Linked DNA regions of Styela clava. The protein of the gene in region 1 purifies or fractionates together with the protein of each later gene. This does not show direct contact. Links are inferred from orthologs where the notes say so. Each region holds a gene or a part of one and is shown in the gene's direction. Other genes may lie near its edges.

Region 1 (7,083 bases):
TGAATTGCCCAACGGACCGAATTTGGCCCGCGGGCCGTAGTTTGCCCATGTCAGGTTTAAATCATGTATATATGAAATATGATAGTTTCACATTTGTTAGTAAAATGAAGTCGAAAGTACTAGAATGGAATCGGTTCAATAACAGGATATCGCGGTCATCACTTAGTTCGACTAATATTTTAATGGTTCGTATTTACAGGAAAGAGAGTTCCGGTGTCGGGAGTTTTGAAAGAAAATTCTGGGCAGTAATGTAATCGCAAGTGCAATAGTCTAGCAGGTGTTTCCCGGATTCGAAGGCCTTTTCACTCATGTTACATTAGTTTTTGCACCTCCAGAAGTATGTGCACCAAGATGACGCACAGCCTGAACATGGTATGTGTACCAGGTTAGGGTTCAGGTTGTGCGCCATCTTGGTACACATACTTCGGGAGCGGCCGTTACGCTTAGCCATTGGTGGCCAACAAGTCAAAACTAGGAGCCGCATTTGGTACTTTATTACCGCGAAGAGCCGCTATATAAACAAGAACACACATAAACATCAAATATAGCCTACCTTTATTCGGCTCTGCTAGTTGATTGTAAATGTTACAAACCGACATGCTAATGACAAAAATTTACAAGCCATTTATTGGTATGCATGCTACTTAGTGGGACTTCTGGCATTCCTTTGATTGAACAATGCTCTTTAAATTTGGCTAGTATGTCGCTGTAACCAATCGAAGCAGTTTTTTGACATGGGAGTCAGTCAGAACAGATCAATGCTTTGATTTCACGTCTTTTGAGGTAGAAAACACATATATATCCGTAGACATATGTTGACTCAAACTCTGACATTATCCTTAGCGCAGCTCGTTGGACATAGAGTATTTTTCCATTGACATTGCTTTTGCATAAGCCAATGGTCCCTCCCTTTGAAGCGCTTCATCTGAGACTAGAGGGAATTTTAAACAATCCGTCTCAGAATTAAATGAGCTGTCGACCACGTAATCTGTGACGTTTTATCTTCACTTCAATTACTTCGCTCGAATGGTGGACAGCTCGTTTGTCTAAGTGCAGTTTTGGGAAGTTTTGTGGCGTCTGAAGCTGCCGCAAAACCATGACGTAATTTCCAAACCGCTATGGTCATACCACAGCGACTGACTTTTTGATGATACCGGCGAGATGCCGGTACTTTGCTGCCGTAACCATTGAGATGTATATAACACCTCAATGGCCGTAACCATTGAGGTGTGGCCGTATGGCAGGGCTCTTCTTGATAGTGACAAATATTGGGTAAGCTGGAACATTTTTCTTATGGATACAGTTTTGGTGGATTTGGGGTTAGGTTCCAGGTTTAAGTAGGTAAAATTCTTCATGATAAACTAAAAATATTTTTATCGGAACTGCCGTAAAGTTTTGGGAAATTGTATACTACATTGTATGGGCTTGTAAGAAGGTATTTTTGAGCGTGCTTGAAATACGATAATGCACAAATAATAAATCTCTCTCTCTCTCTCTCTCTCTCTCTCTCTCTATTAGTGAAGTACTTTGATGACCGGCGTCATTTACGTCGTTACGCTTGAGTAATCGTTGCGTGATGAGTACGCAAACCGACGATAGACGCCCGCGCCGCTTCTCGCCGAAGGCTCCTGGCAGAAGTGTATGATGTGTACAACGTTTAGACGTTCACAGAGGGAGTTACGTTCGGTACATAGTAGGCATTTTTTTGGATTATAAGTAACTGATACCATTACTTTGCAATAATAACTATTTGAAATTAATGCCCGAGTCTAGATAAAATCTGAAGACGAACAATTACGGTAACAGAATAATGCTTCGTTCAACGATTTCAGATATTTTACAGATTTTACATTTCCAGATTTATAGGGTACGGTAAAAGATTTGCTTTTATTTAGGGGGAGATAAATTAAAAAAATATCTGAGTGTAGCCAAGTCTGCAGGTAAACAGCGTAGCATTTTAAAATACTGAAATAACCCCAGCAAAAATGGGGTCTCGTGAAATAAACGCAGTACCGTAAGTGCTTAGGTAACGCCAAACAAAATGTGATGTGAAAATACAACCCAAATTTTCATTTTTTTTCTAAAAATAAAAGTCCTTCTTTCGCGAACACAAAACCCCTAAACGCATGGGACAAACGGGAGGCGGACAACTCGAGGGTCTGGTATAGTACAGTACCACATGCACTTCTAGTTGGCCTGGTTCAACAATTTTTGCATATGTCAATCCTGACCCCCACCTGACAACGTCACCGAAAAATTTCGTCATTTCGACGTCACAGTGGCGTTATAAGGCCCACCAAAGTATGCGGACGGTCGTACACAACACGCAGACGATCATCCGAAATCGAGCAAGCTATTTTTCTCGTTTTATCTTCACAACGATCACGATAGGAGTGAGATCGCCGGCTTTAGCGAGTTCGTTATCGGCAGCGCAGATGCCATTTCGGGCGATCGTAATTTATACTTTGGCAAGCCATATGACGTGATGGTGACGTGACGTCTAAGTGACGTAATTTATATGGATGACATAGTCAGGTGGTGGTTAGGAATAACTTATGTAAAATTCGGTATGCTATGCCAACTGGAATTACTTGTGGAGGACGGATGGGTCAAGTTCAAAATGGACGATCCACCTTTGCGCATATTCAACGACGACGTTTTGAGACAAGGTTTTAATTTCGATCTTCTTACATTAAAATTTCACATCACATTATTGTTGGGTGTTATTTGAGCAGTTACGGCGTTCATTTTACATCACATTCTTGTTATACGCATTATTCAAGCAGTTACAAGGTTTACTTCACTGGACCCCAAAATGTGATGTGAAATTTTTGGATTTTTTGTAGTTTTGTACCGGTACCTAAAGTCTTAAAGAATGGTACTGTACAGTACTCTGGTCGAAGTAGCATAACGATTTTTGCACTTAGTGATCCTAACCCTATAAAAATAATTCATCATTTATTTATGTACCACTATTACGAGACGAATAAACATACATACATACAACCCCCACCTGACTATGCCATTTAAAAATTATGTCACTACTGCACTACGACGTCACAATCACGTTATACTGTCATAGAGCTTGCCAAAGTACGGTATACCAACGGCCCCCCGAAATGGCATTTGCCCGACGGTGAAGGACTCACTAACGGCAGCGATCTCGGGTCTTGTAAAGTAAACGCTGTAAATGCTTGAATACCCACAAACACAAATGTGGTGTGGAGATGAATGCTATGACTGTATAAGTGCTTCAATAGCGCCAAACAAAAATGTTTTCCTCCATAATGATAATTTTTACTTGTTTATCTTTGAGCTATATTGAATTTCATTTTCAGAAAACAGATAGATTTGACACCTAATATTACAGTACGGCACACTATACAGATCGGGTGACATTGTCTCGTTTCAGAGAAAGCCATTTTACCAATTGTCAGACACCCATCCTTTGGGAGACGTCTGAACATTGTTGTCCCTCAATATCGGTAAAAATACAGTAAAATGAAGTTGCGGAAAATACTACAAAGAAGCGCAATCTAATAACGTCATCATTAAATTCCTAGAAAAAAAATGATCCGATTTACTGAAGAAAAACAATTTTATCGTGGCATTCGAGAGCAAAAAACGGCAATTTTGGTTATGTGACGGCCGTGATTAATTTAGATTATTATTGAGACAAGCATGGCGCGATATGATGCATCTGACGTGGTGCCAGACGACCCTCGTTTGTGAGACGCATTGAGTGTTTATTTTATTGAACCAAATGGAGGAAAATTATTGGAATTTGGATAGTGTGCCGTACTGTATTATAGAAATATCTCTTGCCTGTTACAACTGTCTGACTGTTATCACTCCAATCTGCCAATACTCACTTTAGAGCAGCAATAAATATTTTGAGAGTTTTTCTGATTGGAATGAAATGTTTTGAATTTTTTTATACTCATTTTGGGTTTCAGTGGTTTTAATGTCAGTTTCATTTGTTAATTCTTCAATTTGAATTTTTTGAAATATTTTCAGACTCTGTTTTGTTCAGTTTTTATCTAAATTAAGTAAGAAAAAGTTATTTATCCAAGTTCATTTCATTTTGTCATTCTTCATCATGTTTAAGAAATGGAAGAAAGGTCATCATCACGATCCACAAAGAGAAAAAATAAAAGATGAGCTGTTTGAATTCAAAAAGGTATCTCTATGCATACTATGTTAGTTTAGGATACACCTGACATAGGCAAATTATGACCTGTGACCCAATTCTGGCTTGTTGGGTAAATAATTCTGGCCTGCCTGATGCTGCCACAACCAAACTAAACTAAATTTTGATATGTAAACTGAAAAGTAGCTCGAGGAATTTGTTGAGATTGCGATTAAATTTAGTTTTTGCACAAGGCCTATTGTTTTCCACTTTTGCTGTTGTAATGCTGTAAATATTGTTCATAAAATGTAACTTTTCATTTCACCAGTCTAGTTGGGCAAAATTTGGCCGTGGATTAAAAACCCTGCTGACTCAAAAATTCAGCTAGAATTGAATTTGAAACCAATGATGTTTCCGGAAAGTTAATAAATTTCATGATTCTGTTAAAATTCGTAAAAGAAATTAAACAGTTTGATTCTTCCAAACTGTTAAGATATAAGTATCCATTTGCTAATATAATGTTGAAATGCTATTCCACTTTTTCAAACATTAAACATTTGATAGCTAAAGAGGTTGAAGAAAGTACTGTTTTCTGTTAAAATTTGGCGATTCAATAATACAGTCATGGTTTATATTAATTAAAAAATATGATGTTATTTCTGAATTAAAATTATTTAATGTACAAATGTTGAATTTTTTTTATCGATGAGCATGTTTTGTATTAAAATTTGTCAGAAGATAGTTTTATTATGTGACTCAAATTAACAGAACCCCTAGAAGCTACCAAAGTAGGATTAAATCAGTGTTCCGTGTCACTATAGCCTTACATTATATTACATTGAGTGATGTTTGATAACCTGTAATTTTGAATTATTTTCCAGACGGCTGAGCATGGATTCCCAAACCAACCTAGTGCTCTGGCATTCGATAGGAAGTTAAAATTAATGGCCATTGGATTGAAAAACGGTTCAATTAAAATGTAAGTTTTTTATTACAAAGATAGACTAGGGGTGGCCAGAACTGAATATTCTATCATTCCTTATCTATTACAAAATTAGGGGCTCCCGAAGCATGCGAACCAAGATGGCGGACATCGGAATGTAATATGTGTACTAGGTTAGGGTTAGGCCATAATTTTAGGTATAAATACTACGAGAGGCTCTTGGCTAGTCTTTGAACTGATAATAGGACTAAAATAAGAGAAATTGGAAAAAAATTATCGCCTAACCCTAACCTGTTACCCATGTTACGTTCCGATGTCCGCCATCTTGGTTCGCATACTTCGGGAGCACCCAAAATTATATACAAGTATGAAACATTCTGTATTTGGCCATGTCCACCAAGTGGCAGATAGAAATCAAATGAATATTCAATGTGTTGTAACTGTTTTTGCAGGAAAGTAATTTGATTACTTGCCTTTTTGCAGTTTTTAGAAATTTAAATTTGACTACTCAAATTTTTGAATACCTGTGTACTTGATTCGTTCTAGACATCACTACCTTCAAACTTATTTTATAAGTTTAGTTTCAAGTGATCACTAAGTGGCTTGGGTGGAGGATTCAACAGCCATATTATTTTACCTGATTTTATCATGAGTCAATTTGGTACTCCCGTAGTATGTGTACAAAGTTAGGGTTAGGCCATAATTTCATGCCGATTTTCCTTATTTTAGTTATAATACAAGTTTGGGGACTGTCTGTGTAAGCCAAGTACCTCCTGTCCATAGGTTTTCAGTCCCTTTACACAACTTGATATAAAGTAGGTGAACGTAATTAGTTACCTCCATATTGGTACACACATAAATTTGGTATTTCGAAATAACATGGACATTTCTACCCTGTATATCCTCTTGTCACATGGTTACATCTGATGAACTGTGATAGCAAAAGAAAAACTCACATTTAGTACGAAAATATTCCTTTGTATTTTGATTTCCAAATTTCTGTATCTATTCAAAATCATATTCTTAACATCTCAGATATGGAGCACCAGGAGTTGAATTTACAGGACTTCATGATGACACCAATCAAGTTGTTCAGTTGCATTTCCTTACAGGAGAGGTAGGTTATGGTTTGAATTTGGTCTATGGTTTCGTATATGTAATGGCCACTTTGAAAAGGCATTGTTAATCACCTGACATTTGGAGACTGAAGTCGAATTTAAAATGTTTCTACTAGCATAATGGTTGTAGCTGAGAAGCCGAAACCTCACTTTTTTATCGAAATTTTTCTTCGAGTTAGGAGATGGAGTTATCAAAATTCTTGAATTTATGTTTAAATTTTATCAAGTTGTGTCTTGGAGCCAGAGTATAGCTCGGGGTCTGGTGTAAATTTTCCTCGATTCCAAAGCCCTTAGTGAGATATGTCAATCAAGTATAGTCATATTCATGGCCATAAGAAAAAACAGAATACTTGAACTATTTGGTTTATCAGTTGGGTTAACTACCTTTCCATGCTTCCTCTGTCCCCAATTTCATTTCTCTCTATTGAAAACTAACTAACCCAGAAATTGCTAACCATTATTTATGTACATTTCATCGCGTTTCTTATCGTAGTTGAATAATGCTTGTCAGAGGAAGTCTGACCTTGGTCAGACGAAACGTTACAGAAATACATTCGTGTTAGTGTGCAGCAAGACTCTTGAATTGGATAATTATACTTTTACCTGTATTGCATTTATACCCTTTTTCTTGTTTTTTGTTATCGCAAATTTCAGTATTTTTGCTGCCCGGTCTAATTGGATTGGATTTCTGCCTATTTTCAATTCCAATTTAATAAAGTCAGTTAATTTAGAATCAGGTATTCAAATCATCGTCTAGCTTAATTTCGTTCTTCTTGTTCATATATGTACAGATTGTACCAATTTCATTGAGGTGGATACTGTCTAATGAACTTACATTTACAAAATTTATAACTGTTTACTAGGGATAGTTAGATTTATGTTTTTCACTAGTT
Region 2 (7,847 bases), on another chromosome or scaffold:
CATCGATCGAAATGAACTTTTTTAGAAAATGATATATGTTCGAGGTGAAAAACCTAATCAAAAAACGAACTGTTGAAAACAATGAACTCTATGGACTGTTTTACGGTAATTCACGCGCTCTATTCCGAACAATAGAGAAATTGTCGCGCATACCTAATGCCTAATGGATATACAGATCAGGAACATGTTAATCTACAATTTGTTTCGTGATTTGCAGGTTTTTCTCCTCATTGAGACAGACATTTTTCATTCTTCCACTAATACTAAGGTAAAGTACTTCTTTTTCTTATATATACATGGCGTTTCATTCGGCTTTCAATTTTTATAAATTAATTAATGGTAAAACTTTGAATATTCTAATTTCAAATACCTTTAAAGAGATTTATATTATTGAATATTTGTGGTTAGCATTCTTTTTCGATTAAATAGATTTCGTTATTATTAAAATGCTCTCTAAAAGTAGATTCGAGCGAGTCATACTTTTAATTATTTACAAAGCCGTCATATAGAACGGTTAAATAATAAGCTCGTTAAACAAAAATTGTATCCAAAAGCGTTATTTTTTCAAAAAAGCCCTGAGATGGCATAAACTTAAAAATGCGTTTTTTTCTTCCCGACATGGGACAAGCATATATTGACCAACTAGGTCTACAAAATCGTAACAATGCGATAAAGCGAGTATAAGCATTTTAACTTAGCGAAATACATTGAATTGAAAATATGTTTTAACCGTCCAAACCAAAATTTTCAAAATAAAAATACGCCATCCTTCTGTAATTCTACTTTACAACCTTTACCCTTTCTATAAACTTTTCTTTACTTCAATGTGTTGTCTCATTGTAGATCATATACATGTAAATATTTTTTTGACCTATATATATCATTAATTTTAGCATTGTGTATTGTATTTTTCTATATATTTTCAATTTATTAGAGGTGCCAAATCTTTAAACTTCCAGTTAGTAAGATGGGGAGATAATATAGCAACTAACCCCCAAATGTACCCCATTTCATGTTAAAAATATGAAAACAAAGTTAATTTTTCCCAAAATTCGAACAAAGACTTTCGTAGGAATCAAATTACACCAGGTTTAAGAACATAACAGGTTCCATCCAGTCATTATCAAATTAAAATCTATATTCTCAAGACCTTTGGCACTGATTGAAATAATTATATCTAAGTTCCCATCCGTACGATGTACCTAATTACCCTTGTTGAGATAATAGGAATTTCTGTTTATAACGTGAATCACGAGCTCACGTTTACAGCATTTAATTGGATTTATGATCAACGTATAAATACGACTCCGATATCTTTCGATAGGGAGAAGAGAAGACGATGTAAACCATTCTAAGCTAGTCTGGATAAATGTTATAAGATTTATATTCTGTGTGTTGTGGAAATTTACGAATAAAAACATATAGAGATTTTTAACGCATCTTCATTCACGTGGGCGTTGAAGCTGAAGGGTGAACGGGTGACTTTCAAGTTCTGAGACAATCTACGAAATAGCAATATATGATAACATCACATTCATCTACTTAACAACCCATTTATGCTATAACCCATCCAAAAAAAGAAATTCTATATTTCGCGCCAATATTAATGCCTTTCATAATATATATATACATGTTCGCCAGTTACTTTTCTGACAAATAAATATTCACTCAAAAGAGGAGATCAAGTCAAATAAATAATATATTATGTTATACACTCCAGATTATTAGATTTTCTTGTAACCTTGATATATGCCGTTATCCTTCATTCCATGCATGTAGTTTATTTTTTTAATATATTTGGGCAATAAACACCTTGTTGAAAATTTGCGATACGCATATTTTAATAATATGACATGTAGCCTACCTTACTAATAGTTGCATGTTTCTGTAGTGTAATTTGTTTGTAGTTCTGCCAGTTTGTTAAAATAAGTTCTGTGCAAGTAGCAATACTTACATCAGGATTTTTTATAATAAAATGTTTATCTCTTTGTTTTATATTTTTGGTCTTATTGGGTGTTGATTTATCGAGTGAAGTTGGATAACTTTAATCCTAACTCCGTATCTGCTGACCATATCGCCCGAGCCGAGTTATCTGAGAAACATCTGCGGAAAATTAGTTTTTCGGGAAAATGTTCATTCGTTTCGCCGCTGCGAAAGTTTGGTCCGAATTTTTGAGCATCGTTTTCTTTTAATCAAATGTTTAACGATCGCAGGTTTAAATCTCTTGGTTAGGTTAGGATCATACAACGATAAATCTCTGGACACAAAATGGCGGATGTGTCGTCGCGCAATCGCTCATAACGTTACCAATGCATGTTCTCACTTGATTTATAGTCAGGGATTCCATCGATCTGGAACCCAAAATAAGGACGACTGGAAAAATTTCTGCATTGTGAGCAGAAATAGCTGGCTTTCCTATGGGCTCCAGGTTAATGTTACAAATACAGACGTCACAGTATGCGAAGCACTCACTCTTCAAGCTTCGTTTAACTTTGAATTCTTTCCCGTATTCACGAAAAACGTTCTTACGTTTGCTCATTTTTAAATTTAGGCTAAAATATCCACCACCACGACAAAACCTAAAGATCGCCACACTAACAATGCTTCATGCCTATCTGTGCCTTGCTGCTTTGTGTTCCAAATATGATTATTTGCTTTTATGATTCCGCAATAAAGCTTTGGCGATAAGACAAACAACACAAAGCTTCCTTTATAAAGTCCAAATAAGACAAAATAAGGACACGCGAGCCAAAAATAGGGACGCAAGCTAAAAATAAGCCAAAAATAAGGACAAACCTTAGAAATAAGGATTAAGGACGGTATGGAATCCATGTTTATAGTCAATTTGGCAACGACCAAAGTGAATATCAATTAGGCAGCGATTTTGAATATCAAACGTCAAGTTTAATCTTATATCATTATCCAAATACCGTAGCCCACCATCACTAATATTTGAAAGGAATTCTGTACGACATACTAACATTTAACACAGAGGAAAACTGTTCTACTTTCCTATATATCTCAAAATACTATCATATTATACGTACAGGCCATGGTAGGATAGGATAGGATTTACATATTTATCCCGGGGGAGAGGAAATCCGCTAAGACGACTAAACCATATGGCGAACGACGGCCTCTCGTCAGGTTACCATTCCAAGTCAGGTATGGAATTAGTTATTTGTTTTCAGTTTCATGGACTTGGTGGCGGAGGAAGCCGTCTGAGCGAAAGTCGTGAGTGAGCGTCGTAAAAAGGTCACAAATCTATGAATTAGCACTTGTGTGCATTTGCGCACACGGCCATTTTCACTCTCAAGTATTGTTGTTTTGAGGGATAGATAGACATCCTGATTCTATAACATTGCAATTTAGATCTTATATCAGCATATGTCCCTGGGTCCAAACGGCGACCGTATGGGTGCGAATGAGCGCGGGTGAAAATGTCTATGTCTGAAAAACATGAAGGTTACGAAGTGACATTACAAATGTTCCAAGTGCAAATAGACAGATGCTAATGTGATGTAATGCGCGGCGGTGTGGCTCAACGGGCTAAGCGTTAGGAATACGCTCGCCACCGCACCTCTAATTACTCTGCGTGGGTTCGCAGGTTCGAATTCCATGCAAGGATGGTTATGTGCGAGAGGATTGCTGGACTCCTCGCCGTCGTTGGGTGGTTCACGTAACCGCTGGTCGGTTACGGCTTCCTCCACCACCAAGTACATGCTTCCGAAAACAAGCAATATAACTAATCCCATACCCGACTTTGAATGGTAACCGGACGAGAGGCCGTGGTTCGCCATATGGATAAGCCGTCTTATCGGCTTACCTCTCCCCCGGGATAAATATGTAAATCCTATCCTATCTATATTTAATTGTTATACTTGTGCTTCTGTTTCGGTGAGAAGGCTACCAATCGCGGTGTCGTACGGGCAGAATGACACCATAAATTATTTTATTAATTTTGACCCAGTGACTATCGGTAGCTTTTAATATAAGCATTAACATGTTTTGATTCTAGAATGTTCAATTTAAGTAGTTTCAAAGTCTAAGTCAGCAAAACGAAAACATATATGGGTTGGTTATGAACAATTGCTAATAGAGGTATCGGTAGAGGGAGCTAGGGGAATGCGAAATATATGTTTATTTCATTGAGATTCCTATCTCAGAGAGGGGGTCGGCAAGATGTAGGTTATAGGCCACACCCACTGGAACTTGGAAGTGCTATAGTGCTATATCAATATATTATGACAAATCCTCCGTGTCTGGCTTTTTGTGTCTCCAGTTCTCACGATAAATTTGGATCAGGTCGGACAAAATTAACTCTTCCTGGACCGGTACGTTAACGTACACAGGCAGACAGGTCAGTAGGCTTACCCAAAGCGTATATATAATATACACATACGTCCCGCTTTAGGCCGTTTTTTAGCGTCTTGTCCCGACAAATTAGCCAAAAGTTGGCGTTCAGCCATCCAGCATAATACAAGAACATGTTCTGGTTACTGTTGTTTCTGTGTAGCGCAGAGCTAGCCTACTTACTGCTGTACTGAGGGTGAATGCGTTTGTTCCGTTGTTTCCCCCTAACATTGTTAGAAAACGTACGGTATCGCATGTAAAACCAATACTAATTAGTCTAAATTCGAATTATTTGTACTGGCATCGGTAACGTCTATTCCTTGCTATTTTTCGAACTGAACCCGATATTTGAACAGAGAATAGGCTATGCGCATGAATTCTCGATGACAATATGGTCAATGAAGACAGCCGGGATAGCTTTAAATGTACCGGCAGACCGGTAGGCTATCCTATTAGAGTTCATTATTCATATTTTATGTTTTAGTATGAATTTAAAATCCGAAAATTGTAATTAGCATTGTATATCAATTACATTCAAAACTTGACCATGTCTGTTGATACCTCACATTTAATGGTACGTTCAAAATTAGCGTATCAAAATCAAATTTTGAACCTGAACCTCGATCCACAAATACGAATGGATGAATTATGGGTGCAAATCCGAGTTAATTGTGGATTCTCAGATGCTCAACTTTTCACTTTGAAATGGTTAGACGAGGAAGGTGATCTGTGTACAGTAACATCTCAACTGGAGTTGGATGAAGCATTAAGACTGTATGAGCTAAATGAGGATGATACTCTGTTTCTTCATATATTTCAAGGAATACCTCCTGAGCCCGGGGTTCAATGTGTGGGCGAACATAAAATTTATCGTCGTGGGGCAAGAAGATGGTACAAACTAAAGCGTAGGTTGAAGAAATTAAAAGGACGTCGTCCACGAATTCCGATTTCCAATCCTACTGATGATCCTGGTTCTGTGCATATTCAAGAGGGGGAGGCTCAAAGGGTTCATTACAATCCTGCCACTGGTACAGGTGGTGAGGCAGTGCATGCGACATCGAGGACAACGTCTGGCTTTGGTTTGAGAGATTTTGATATGTTGAGAGTTATTGGTCGAGGAAGTTATGCTAAAGTACTTCTTGTGAGTTTGAAGAAAAGTAAAAAACTTTATGCGATGAAAGTTATAAAGAAAGAGCTTGTCACTGATGAAGAAGATGTCGACTGGGTAAATGTTCAATATTTTATGTTCAAATTTTCATTAATGTGTTTATTGATATAACTAAGTAGGGTTCCAGGTTCAGCTCTTCTAACTGTTTCGAATATTCGACTAACCAGCGATGGAGCCATTACATTTTGTTGGAGCTAGAGCCAAGCTTACCTTAACAACACCAAACAACTAAAACTTCTAGCAGCTCCAGCTCCCAACCATCTAATTCTTGTTCCATACTTTTAATTTTCTTCTTTTTTTTATGTTTTTTGGTTATGATTTTTTTCAATATTTGTTTTCATAATTTTGAAACTTTTCAGTTAAAGTTGTATAATTGGAAGTTTAAAATTCGAAATTTCAAATTTTAATCTACCATACAAATTTTTGAGTCCCACTGCAGCGAAACTGCATTTGGGCTGATGTTCATGGTGAGGGTTCATGGTCACATCAAAAAAACGAGCTGTCCTGTATGTAACCCAGCTCTGAGGTAAAAAAAGATCAGGCTTCGTTGCTGTAGCTGGAGCCATTTCAAACCAACTCATTGGCCCTGTTACTATAACATTCAGATGTTCAATTCTCATTTACCAGTGATTTTTATCAAGCCTATTTTTTGAAAAATTTCTTATTCTCTATTTTTTCAGGTACAAACTGAAAAACATGTTTTTGAAACTGCTTCAAACCACCCATTTCTTGTTGGATTGCATTCATGTTTTCAAACAGCTGATCGCCTATTTTTTGTTATCGAATATGTGAATGGAGGGGACCTTATGTTTCACATGCAAAGACAGGTCAGTTATTACTTATCGATTTTAATCGGTAAGTATGTTGATAGGTATTTGTCTGTCTGTTACATGCACGCGATATCTCATGAAAGCGAGATTGAATCTGCTCCAGATTTTGCATGTGCATTCATCATATGTCGTACCAGAATCCTATTGATTTTGGATGAATTATGTGGTATAATTAGCGAGTTTAATTAATTATTTAGTGATGAGACACAAGGTGTCACTATGGAGTAAGAGCGCTGTTTTGGGGGATCCCCTAACTTTCAAGCGATAAGTCTTCGGTCTCTGACTGATATTCTCGTTAACGTGTTTATTTAATATATCAAAAGTAGTACAATATTGTTAAGTTTGTTCAAAGTGGTGTTATTGTTTTCTTTTACTTCTATGCATCATGCAGTTGAATTTAGTTCTAAAAGACATTGATTTTTGATGGTGTTTCATGGTTTTTATCAGACTGTAGATGAAATCTGTTCTAAAGCCACACTAGATCTTTCTTTCTAACTGATAATAAATAAATACTCAATTTATTAATCTTGGATGTATCTTTGCAAGTTATTTAACATATCTTTGCTTCCTAATGATTGGTGTAACCTAGCATTATGTGCCATGGAATTGATAAGACTGGATAATTTATTTTGAATTCTGCCACTGCTCGAAATAAACACCCAGCTATACGCGATTCAAGAGTCCCGGTGCACACAAATGTATTTCTGTAAGGATTCGTCCGACTAAAATTAGACTTTCTCATACAAGCAGTTTACAACAATGACAAGAAAAGAACAATCATGCGGTTTCAAACACACAGGATGGCAATTTGAATAAGTTTCCAAAACTCGAAATAAGATTTAAACGAGCGACTCATTTATAAATGATAGCTGATAGGCTTCACTTGAATGTTTATAAAACATTTTTATATTTCAGAGAAAACTTCCAGAAGATCATGCTCGTTTCTATGCTGCAGAAATAGTGCTTGCATTACATTTCTTGCACGAAAAAGGCATTATTTATAGAGATCTAAAACTTGATAATGTTCTTCTTGATAGCGAAGGTCACATAAAACTGACAGATTATGGCATGTGTAAAGAAGGAATTTTGAAAGGTACATTTACGATAATTTCTCTCACTATTTATTCTTGCTTGTCTACAAATCATGTTTAACAGGATTTTTAAGTGTATACTTTTTATAGGTGACAAGACGTCTACCTTTTGTGGTACTCCAAATTACATTGCTCCCGAGATCCTTCGGGGAGAAGACTATTCATTCTCGGTTGATTGGTGGGCACTTGGAGTACTCATGTTTGAAATGATGGCAGGAAGAAGTCCATTTGATATTGTTGGTATGGCAGATAACCCTGATCAAAACACTGAAGATTATTTGTTCCAGGTCAGATTTTCTCATACTATAATATGCGAGTGAAAGTTATTACAATCCTAATGTATGTCTATGCTTCATTTCTGAGCTCTTTCGCCCGTATATAATATAATGCATCCCCAGAATCCAG
Region 3 (7,600 bases), on another chromosome or scaffold:
GCTAAAAGGACTTTTCTCAAAAGCCTATTGTCTACATTTATTTAATTCACTGTTTAGTGAAAGTATAAAACATCTAATAAAATTGAGTAAGAAGGCTTTACTTTTATGCTTAATTCGTCATATGTCAAAGCTAAACTGATCATAGCAAGGAAATTTTATATGCTGTTGTAACTAAAACTATTTTTTTTTCTTGCAGAGAAAAAGGCTTAATGAAGAATAGCATCAAGTTCGAGCAGCCTGTGAATAAGAGATTTGTGAACACAAACATGAAATCACTTATATTATTCAGAGTAATTTGCGGTAATGAATTCAAAGGTTGAACATTTTTAACCGCAATAAACTTTTTATCGTGTAAATGTTACTTCATATAGTATTTGGTTGTGTTTGATTGAGAGGAGACTGGTGTGTTCTGTAGTTGTTGTTTTAAATACCACTTAAAGTAAACACGCATAAGTTTCATATAGATTTATCCATTTCACCCTCCTTTATTTACTTTCGGGTACGTGGAAAAACAAATTGAAAGCGACAATTGATTTTGGGAATTTGGTTCATATTGGATACAGATAGCTGAAGCAATTGAAAGTTATCTTCTCTTGTGTACACAGAAAAATATGGCGGTTGTCGAATATCCTTATTTCCTGTTACCGTGTTGTGTCCTTAGAAATTTTGCAACAGACCATATTCTCAGGTTTCCGCACAGACTTGCTAGAAGTAGAGGGTGTAAGCTATTACATGGAACTTCCTCGCTATAATGACCAACAGGTGTCTAGATTGACAGCCAAACGTGGCAATCACGACTTCACATAATAACACGATTCACCCGCCTATATGATAGGATAATAGGTTCTATGGTCCTTTGACTGGATATTTCCATTCCCACCGGCTAGCGATAATTGGGTACTCCTGAAGTATGCGCGCCAAGATGTCGCATAACCGTGTCGTGAGTTCAGGTTGTGCGCCATCTTGGTGCGTATACTTCAGGAGGTCCTGTGCAATAACTTTACATTTTTTACGAGTCGATTGTCCGTGATTAAGATAATGAGAGAACATGATCTTACTTTTTAGCGGAGGATTGGACAAAAGATGATTAAATATTATTTATTTAAATCATATGTACCAAATTTCTGCGAGGCCACCTTGTACGAATCCAGATATAAAAATTCCAAGCCTTTTTTCAAGTCTGTTATTTAACGTATCGTAAACTCATTCGCCCACGCCATCGCGGATATAAAACTCTGAATGCAGAAAGGTGTGTGGTGTGAAGCCTCACTCGACGTAACCAGTATGCTCCCCCAGATTTTCATTTTAGGGGGTTGGGGTAGGGATTCCAAATCTAGGGGGAGATCTAGGTAGATATTTTGATATTAGTGATAAAAAATGGCGCTCCAGTATGTGAACCAAGATGGCGGACATCGGAACATAGAATATGTACCAAGTTAGGGTTAGGCCATAATTTCATTCCAATTTTAGTTATATTACGAGTGCGGGGACCATCCAAGTGAGGAGGTAATGGTAGAGAAATAACTGGACGGCCTGGTATTTAATTCAAAAAAAATGTATCTAACAACTTGATATTCAAAGAAATTTATTCCACCTGCAATGGTATTCCAAACGGCAAATTGTCAGTGGTAATTCGTTATATATAGCGTTTCAACGTTTTTGGAATTTTGTGATTTAAATCTAGAATTACCCGAGTTGGCGATTTTCTTCGTTTTGAAAACGAATATTTATCTCCCTCCCGTGGAAGAATTTCTCACAAATTTCTGAACCGCAGAGACGCCCGTCCTACAGAGCTTCAATTTTCAGTATGTTCCAAAATACGAGAACTTTTATTAATAATATAGTAGATATAACGACTCAGTTGTACTCCCGGCATTTTCCCCATAAAATAAACTTTCCTCCCTTTATATATACGTGTTTCCCCGAAAATAAGATCTACCCCGAAAATAAAATCATGCATATAAGTCGATAGCAGTTAAATCTCTCCTTCACGTTTTAAATAATTCATAAAATATGGTTTGCAGCTATTCCGAATAAAAACTTGGTATTTATGGGTAAATGTATTTCGGTTTTCATATTTTGTATATTTGAAAATCTCGTAACTTTCTATGTTGTAATTTTGTTTTTGATAACTGAAAATATGAGACATCAACCGAAAATAAGCGCTGGTGTTACTTTTCGGAACAAAACTGAAATAAAACTGGGACACGATAGAATAAATATGAAAAGTGCCTATTTTTCTTCTTTTCAATACTAGTAGTTGTAGTTTTATCTCAACCGTCATCATAAATATTCGATATCGATATTGTCACCGTATGCAGGTATGGTATTTCGCATAGACAACCGTTACCAAAGTCTTTGTATGAATGCATCATACTTTGAACAGTCTTATCACATTATAATCATGAAAATAGGCTTTTCTTTCTTTTTCGTCATCACATTCGAGATGATATTCAATACACCACTCTTTAGTCACCGGAGCATGACACACCCACATTTTCACTAGATGGCGATGTGCGAAAAGGTGGGGTTTACTCAGTGGGCTGCATTTTTGGGGTAACAATACGTCTCGGGTCCCGCTTTTTTGGTGCGATTTTTTTAGTTTCATGTACCCTGTATAAGGATAGGGATAGGTCTATATACAGATATCAGGATATAGAGAAAACTGTTCGGAAATATCTCTCGAATTCTCTCTTTGCTCTTCGTTAGTTGAAGTTGTTAGTTGGGATCTAAAGACTGAAAGAAGAACACACCGTACCGGTAACTAGGGGTATGTATATGAAGAAGGACACACCGTAACTCCCAAATAACGTCAAACAAAAGTATGATGTGAAAATAATGCCCAAATTTTCATTTTATTCCAAATACCAGAACGGTATCAAAAGTCAGAAAGTCGGTCTCTAGCGGCTAACCCTATTTCTGAATTTGGCATTGGAACATACCGGTACCTGCTTCTGCTGTTCTGTGCTTAGTTCAGTATTTGAAAATTGAGTGGGTTTGATTTTAACGAAGCACGTCTGTCAAAAATTTCATTTTGTGCCAGACAGATTTTTTTTAGAAATCATAAAAATCTCATATCACATTTCTGTTTGACGTTATTCAAGCAGTTTTTCAGCAGCAAGTTTCAAGCAATCCCATTTTTTGATGTTATTTAACTGTTTAAGGAGTCATGTCGTTCATTTCGCCAGACCCGAAGTTAGATATTTCAACTTTCTGTCTGAGATTAAGATTTTGGGTCTCAGCTAGTTTCGTACCTAACGTACTTATAATGGGCGTAATATAACAAATTTTGCACGTGTCAATCCTAACCCATCAACTACACCATCCAAAAATTAATGAATTATACGAACAGTCATCTAAGAACGGCAGACGAGCATCCGAAATCGAACAGCTATTTCTCTCGTTTTCTTGTCGCGACCATGATCCCAATATGAGAGAGAATGATGATGTTAGTCAGCTTTTTATCAGCGGCGTTGATGCCATTTCGGGCGATTGTACGTCTATTCTGCAAGCTTTATGATAAGATTGTGACGTCGTGGTGACGTAATTTTAGACGACGTAGTCAGATGGGGGTTAGGATTGACATATCAAAAAATAGTTACGCTACGTCCACTAGAAAAACGATATAGGTACAAAACTACAAGAGACCCAAGATTTTTATACTGCTGTAGTGCTGTACTGATAGGCTGCTGATGTACGCTGGTTATAGTTTGAGACTGTAAACCATGATAATAATGACCTTTTGTGAATTTTGAAAAGAAAAATAACCAAACATGTTCGCTAAGTCTTTAGCCAGCAAAAAATATAAAAAATAATTTAGGATTTTACGCAATAACACGATAACATTCAATATTTATGTGCATATTCAATAACAACGTTAAAAGTTGTAAAAATACTGAATTAATTAATAAAAGGACGAAGTACTGAAGTAATGTTTTTCTAAAAAAAGTTGGTTTGGCGCGGAAGGCAATTCGTTTAGTTGAAATCAAACCTACCCAATATTCAACTGAGCAGTTATGACTCATGCCAAATAGGGTAGTCTATAGGGTTCCATTACATTTGAACCCACGTACATTTGAACCCATGACAATTGCACCTGTATGCTATTTCACCTATGAAATTTTTTTTGTTTCACGGATAGTTAAACCCATACTAACCCTAACCCATGGGTTTTAGCACCCGCATATAGATTGAACCCGTGGATATACGCATGGGTTCAAATGTACATGGGTTCAAATGTACGGTCACCGTCTATAGCGTTCTGGGCGAGACAGACTTTGAGAATGACTAAAAAAATTTGGCTGTATTTTTATATCATATTTTTGTTTCGCAATATTCAAGCAGTTGTCTAATCTGCTTCTAACTTAAATTTTATGATTAGTAGCTTTGATTCAGATATCAAATTATACTATTATTTCGTATGTTTATTAAGTTGTGGCCAAGTTTATACCCAATTGAGTTTCAGTCAACGGTTAAATCGTTATTCCCTGGGTTAGGATGACATCAAATTTTATTAAAGTGGACTCTTTTTTTTATCTTGTGTACAGTCTACTGGTTCTCACTTGGTAAATTTTATGTTTAATTGTGTTTCAGACATCTACCAACATGTTGTGACATTTTTGTGTACAAAGTTAAACTAATAATTAATGAAATGGATAAATCATCCTTAGGCTCTGCTGGGTCTTCTCCAGCTGGGAATTTAATTCAAGTAAAAAGCAAATTTCTAGCTGAATTTCGACGATTTCATCTTGATCCAGAACAAGACAAATTTCAAGATTTACATCAAAGAATCGAATCACTTCATCAAATTCATCACGTCGATTTTATTGTGACTTACACCGACCCACTTCATGGTGATTTGTTGCCAATAAATAACGATGAAAATTTTGCAAAAGCGAAAAAAACGTCAAATACTTTGCTAAGACTGTATATTCACAAACGAGAGACTTTTAACTTACAAAATGGTTTTGGCCAATCAACTGTTAGAAAAAAGAAAGGAAAAAAATTACCACCAATTATAAGTTATCCAGAAGATTTTCGTCCGGTTTCCGCAATCATCGATGTGGATATTCTACCAGAAACCTTACGTCGGGTGAGGCTTCATAAGCATGGTTCAGACAAGCCATTAGGGTTTTATATCCGCGACGGTGTGAGCTTACGTATGACGAATAACGGACTTGAAAAAGTGCCTGGAATTTTTATATCTAGATTAGTACAAGGTGGTCTGGCAGAAATGACTGGTTTATTAGCAGTCAATGATGAAGTCTTAGAAGTAAACAGCATCGAAGTGATGGGGAAAACGTTAGATCAGGTCACAGACATGATGGTGGCGAATAGTTCTAATTTGATTATCACCGTCAAGCCTGCAAGTATGAGAAATGCAGTCGCAGGGATAAAGCCGCCTTCTCGGGCTCGTTCTTACGACGATATTCCACGACATAGGCATGAAGAAGAATCCGACGATGATCAGGATGTTGTAAAAGATATCACTCCTGCATCGAAGCATGACCAAAAACCAAAAAGCAACAGTGCACGACATCAAAACGAAAAGATTTATTCAATAAATACGACCCAACAAGGCAAAGAGCACTCTTCTCCTCAATCTGTACCTAATAAAACTGAAGCTTCAAATTCTACGCAACCGTCTCCAAAAAAGTCGCCGAGAGTTGGGCACAAACATGGTAGAGACTCAGTAAAGGCTAAACGTAGAAGCCAAATTAACACTCAAAATGATCTGACATTGTAGGTATTTGCATCGCCGTATCATCCCATGTTATTTTGGGTAAATGTTTTGCCAAAACGGCTTTTTGCAATTTTTCCATTTTATTATGTTTATTATGATTATAATCCATAGGTAGCACGGATTCACTTACTTATACCAGTAATTTATTGGTTACATATATGTGTGGGAATAATTACAAAAAACCTAATTTTTGATCAATCATAAAAATTAATTGATTGGCTTTTTCAAAAATTCGAATTTCACTGAAAAATAGTTTTTCTCACGGTACATTCCCAGCAAATTATTAACTATAAGCCCAGTGTGCTCGCAATTAGGATGCAGATTGTATCATGCGTTGTGTGATTGAACATTTGAGGTTGACTTAAAAAATCATCAAGATGTATTATCAGCTTGAAAATAATTGCATAAACTGAGTATTCGCGATTATCCTCAACCAAATATTACAATTTGAAGTTGTCTTCACTCTTACTACAGCATTAGGATTAGGAGGAAGATGAGTAGTTGGTCCCACAGAAACCCAATAAATAGTAAATAATGGACAATACGAAATGATTTTGAAGAATTGATACAATCGTGTAGCGTCGTGTGTGGACTCTTTTAAATCTTTGTTGCTTCCCATTCCACAGTTGATAAATCCATAAGAGTGCGTTTTTTCTCTTTAAATTATTTGTAGTTTTTTTTTCAATTATCTTGACAAATATGGAATTCCACTTTATTATATTGTTTTGTAGGTGCTGAATTATCTATTCAAAGTGTTGTTATTCCTCTATAGACGTTTTGGCCAATATTTTATTCTACCAATTTTACTTAATTATCAAAATATATCACTCAATTTAAGCAAATAGGAGTTCCTCAAATCTCGGTTTATGAGCTCTATTTCAACCCCTGCTCATGCTAGATTTGCTGCTCAGATCTGGCGCTCCAGAAGTATGTGTACCAATATGGAGGTAACTAATTTTGTTCGCCTACTTTACATCAAGTTGTGTAAAGGGACTGAAACTTATGGTAAGGGGTATATTCACTTGGCTAACACAAACCGTCCCCGAACTCGTAATCGAACTAATAAAAGAAAAATCGGAATAAAATTATAGCCTAACCCCAACCTGGTACACATACTATGGGAGTATCCAGATCTGTTGTTGTCAAAATTGTACTTCAAAATTAAATATCAAATTTTTTGGTTATAATTACCTTTCATAATTTTGTTATGTTGTTTCATTCGGTTTTTCTTCTTTTATTCCATTTTAATCATGGAAATTATAATAATAGTTTGGCTAAAGATTAATTGATTAAAATTTAGATTAAGCGTTGAGACAAAAAATTTCATAATCAAATTTCAAGTACCGGTATATTTTGGAAAAAAAGCTTTCATGTCAAATTTGAAGTATATTTCTAAATATTGACTCCCTCAACATGAATCATCATTAATGCAAGATTATTGAGAGTGGTAAAATGTATAATTCCACATTAGCTAAAAATTATTTATCATTATTAGTGATTACAAAAAAAAGTAATTCAAACCTAATTAGCCGTTTGTTATCTACCTCAGTCATTAGCATTTTATTTTTCAAACAAATTGGAAAATTGCATTAAGTAAATAGGATTGCGTAGTGATTTAATAGTATTACATTATTATAATTCTGTGTGACCTTTATAAGCAAGTTTCACATGATAGTTGCACATGTGTGTTGTATAAGCATGTGATCAGGTCTCTTAATTGAGTTTTCTAAATGACATCCATCTTTTATAAAGTAATGGGTGCTCCAGATTCCAGAAGTATGTGTACCAATATGGGGGTAACTAATTTTGTTGGCCTACTTTACATCCAGGGACTGAAACCTATGGGCAGGGGGAATA

What was found. Proteins that work in one complex are often made in the same cells at the same time.
Region 2: the proteins of lethal(2) giant larvae protein homolog 1-like (region 1) and protein kinase C iota type-like purify together in Drosophila melanogaster (affinity purification with western blotting; 6 studies listed by BioGRID, with this or other methods). This does not show direct contact. The link is inferred for Styela clava from reciprocal best matches to the Drosophila melanogaster genes l(2)gl and aPKC.
Region 3: the proteins of lethal(2) giant larvae protein homolog 1-like (region 1) and partitioning defective 6 homolog beta-like purify together in Drosophila melanogaster (affinity purification with western blotting; 5 studies listed by BioGRID, with this or other methods). This does not show direct contact. The link is inferred for Styela clava from reciprocal best matches to the Drosophila melanogaster genes l(2)gl and par-6.

Annotation. Positions count from the first base shown.
Region 1 is NC_135262.1:4,227,973-4,235,055, forward strand, and holds the start of lethal(2) giant larvae protein homolog 1-like, read left to right. Parts: upstream 1-3,995; 5' UTR 3,996-4,099; coding exon 4,100-4,180; intron 4,181-5,010; coding exon 5,011-5,108; intron 5,109-6,107; coding exon 6,108-6,189; intron 6,190-7,083. UniProt on the Drosophila melanogaster protein: Essential for the development of polarized epithelia, for cell polarity associated with asymmetric cell division of neuroblasts during development, and for oocyte polarity formation.
Region 2 is NC_135257.1:16,668,622-16,676,468, reverse strand, and holds the start of protein kinase C iota type-like, read left to right. Parts: upstream 1-4,822; 5' UTR 4,823-4,900; coding exon 4,901-5,578; intron 5,579-6,201; coding exon 6,202-6,348; intron 6,349-7,266; coding exon 7,267-7,444; intron 7,445-7,532; coding exon 7,533-7,729; intron 7,730-7,847. UniProt on the Drosophila melanogaster protein: Serine/threonine protein kinase which is required for apico-basal cell polarity in the germ line as well as in epithelial and neural precursor cells, for epithelial planar cell polarity and for cell proliferation.
Region 3 is NC_135250.1:4,770,404-4,778,003, forward strand, and holds the start of partitioning defective 6 homolog beta-like, read left to right. Parts: upstream 1-4,575; 5' UTR 4,576-4,651; coding exon 4,652-5,746; 3' UTR 5,747-7,600.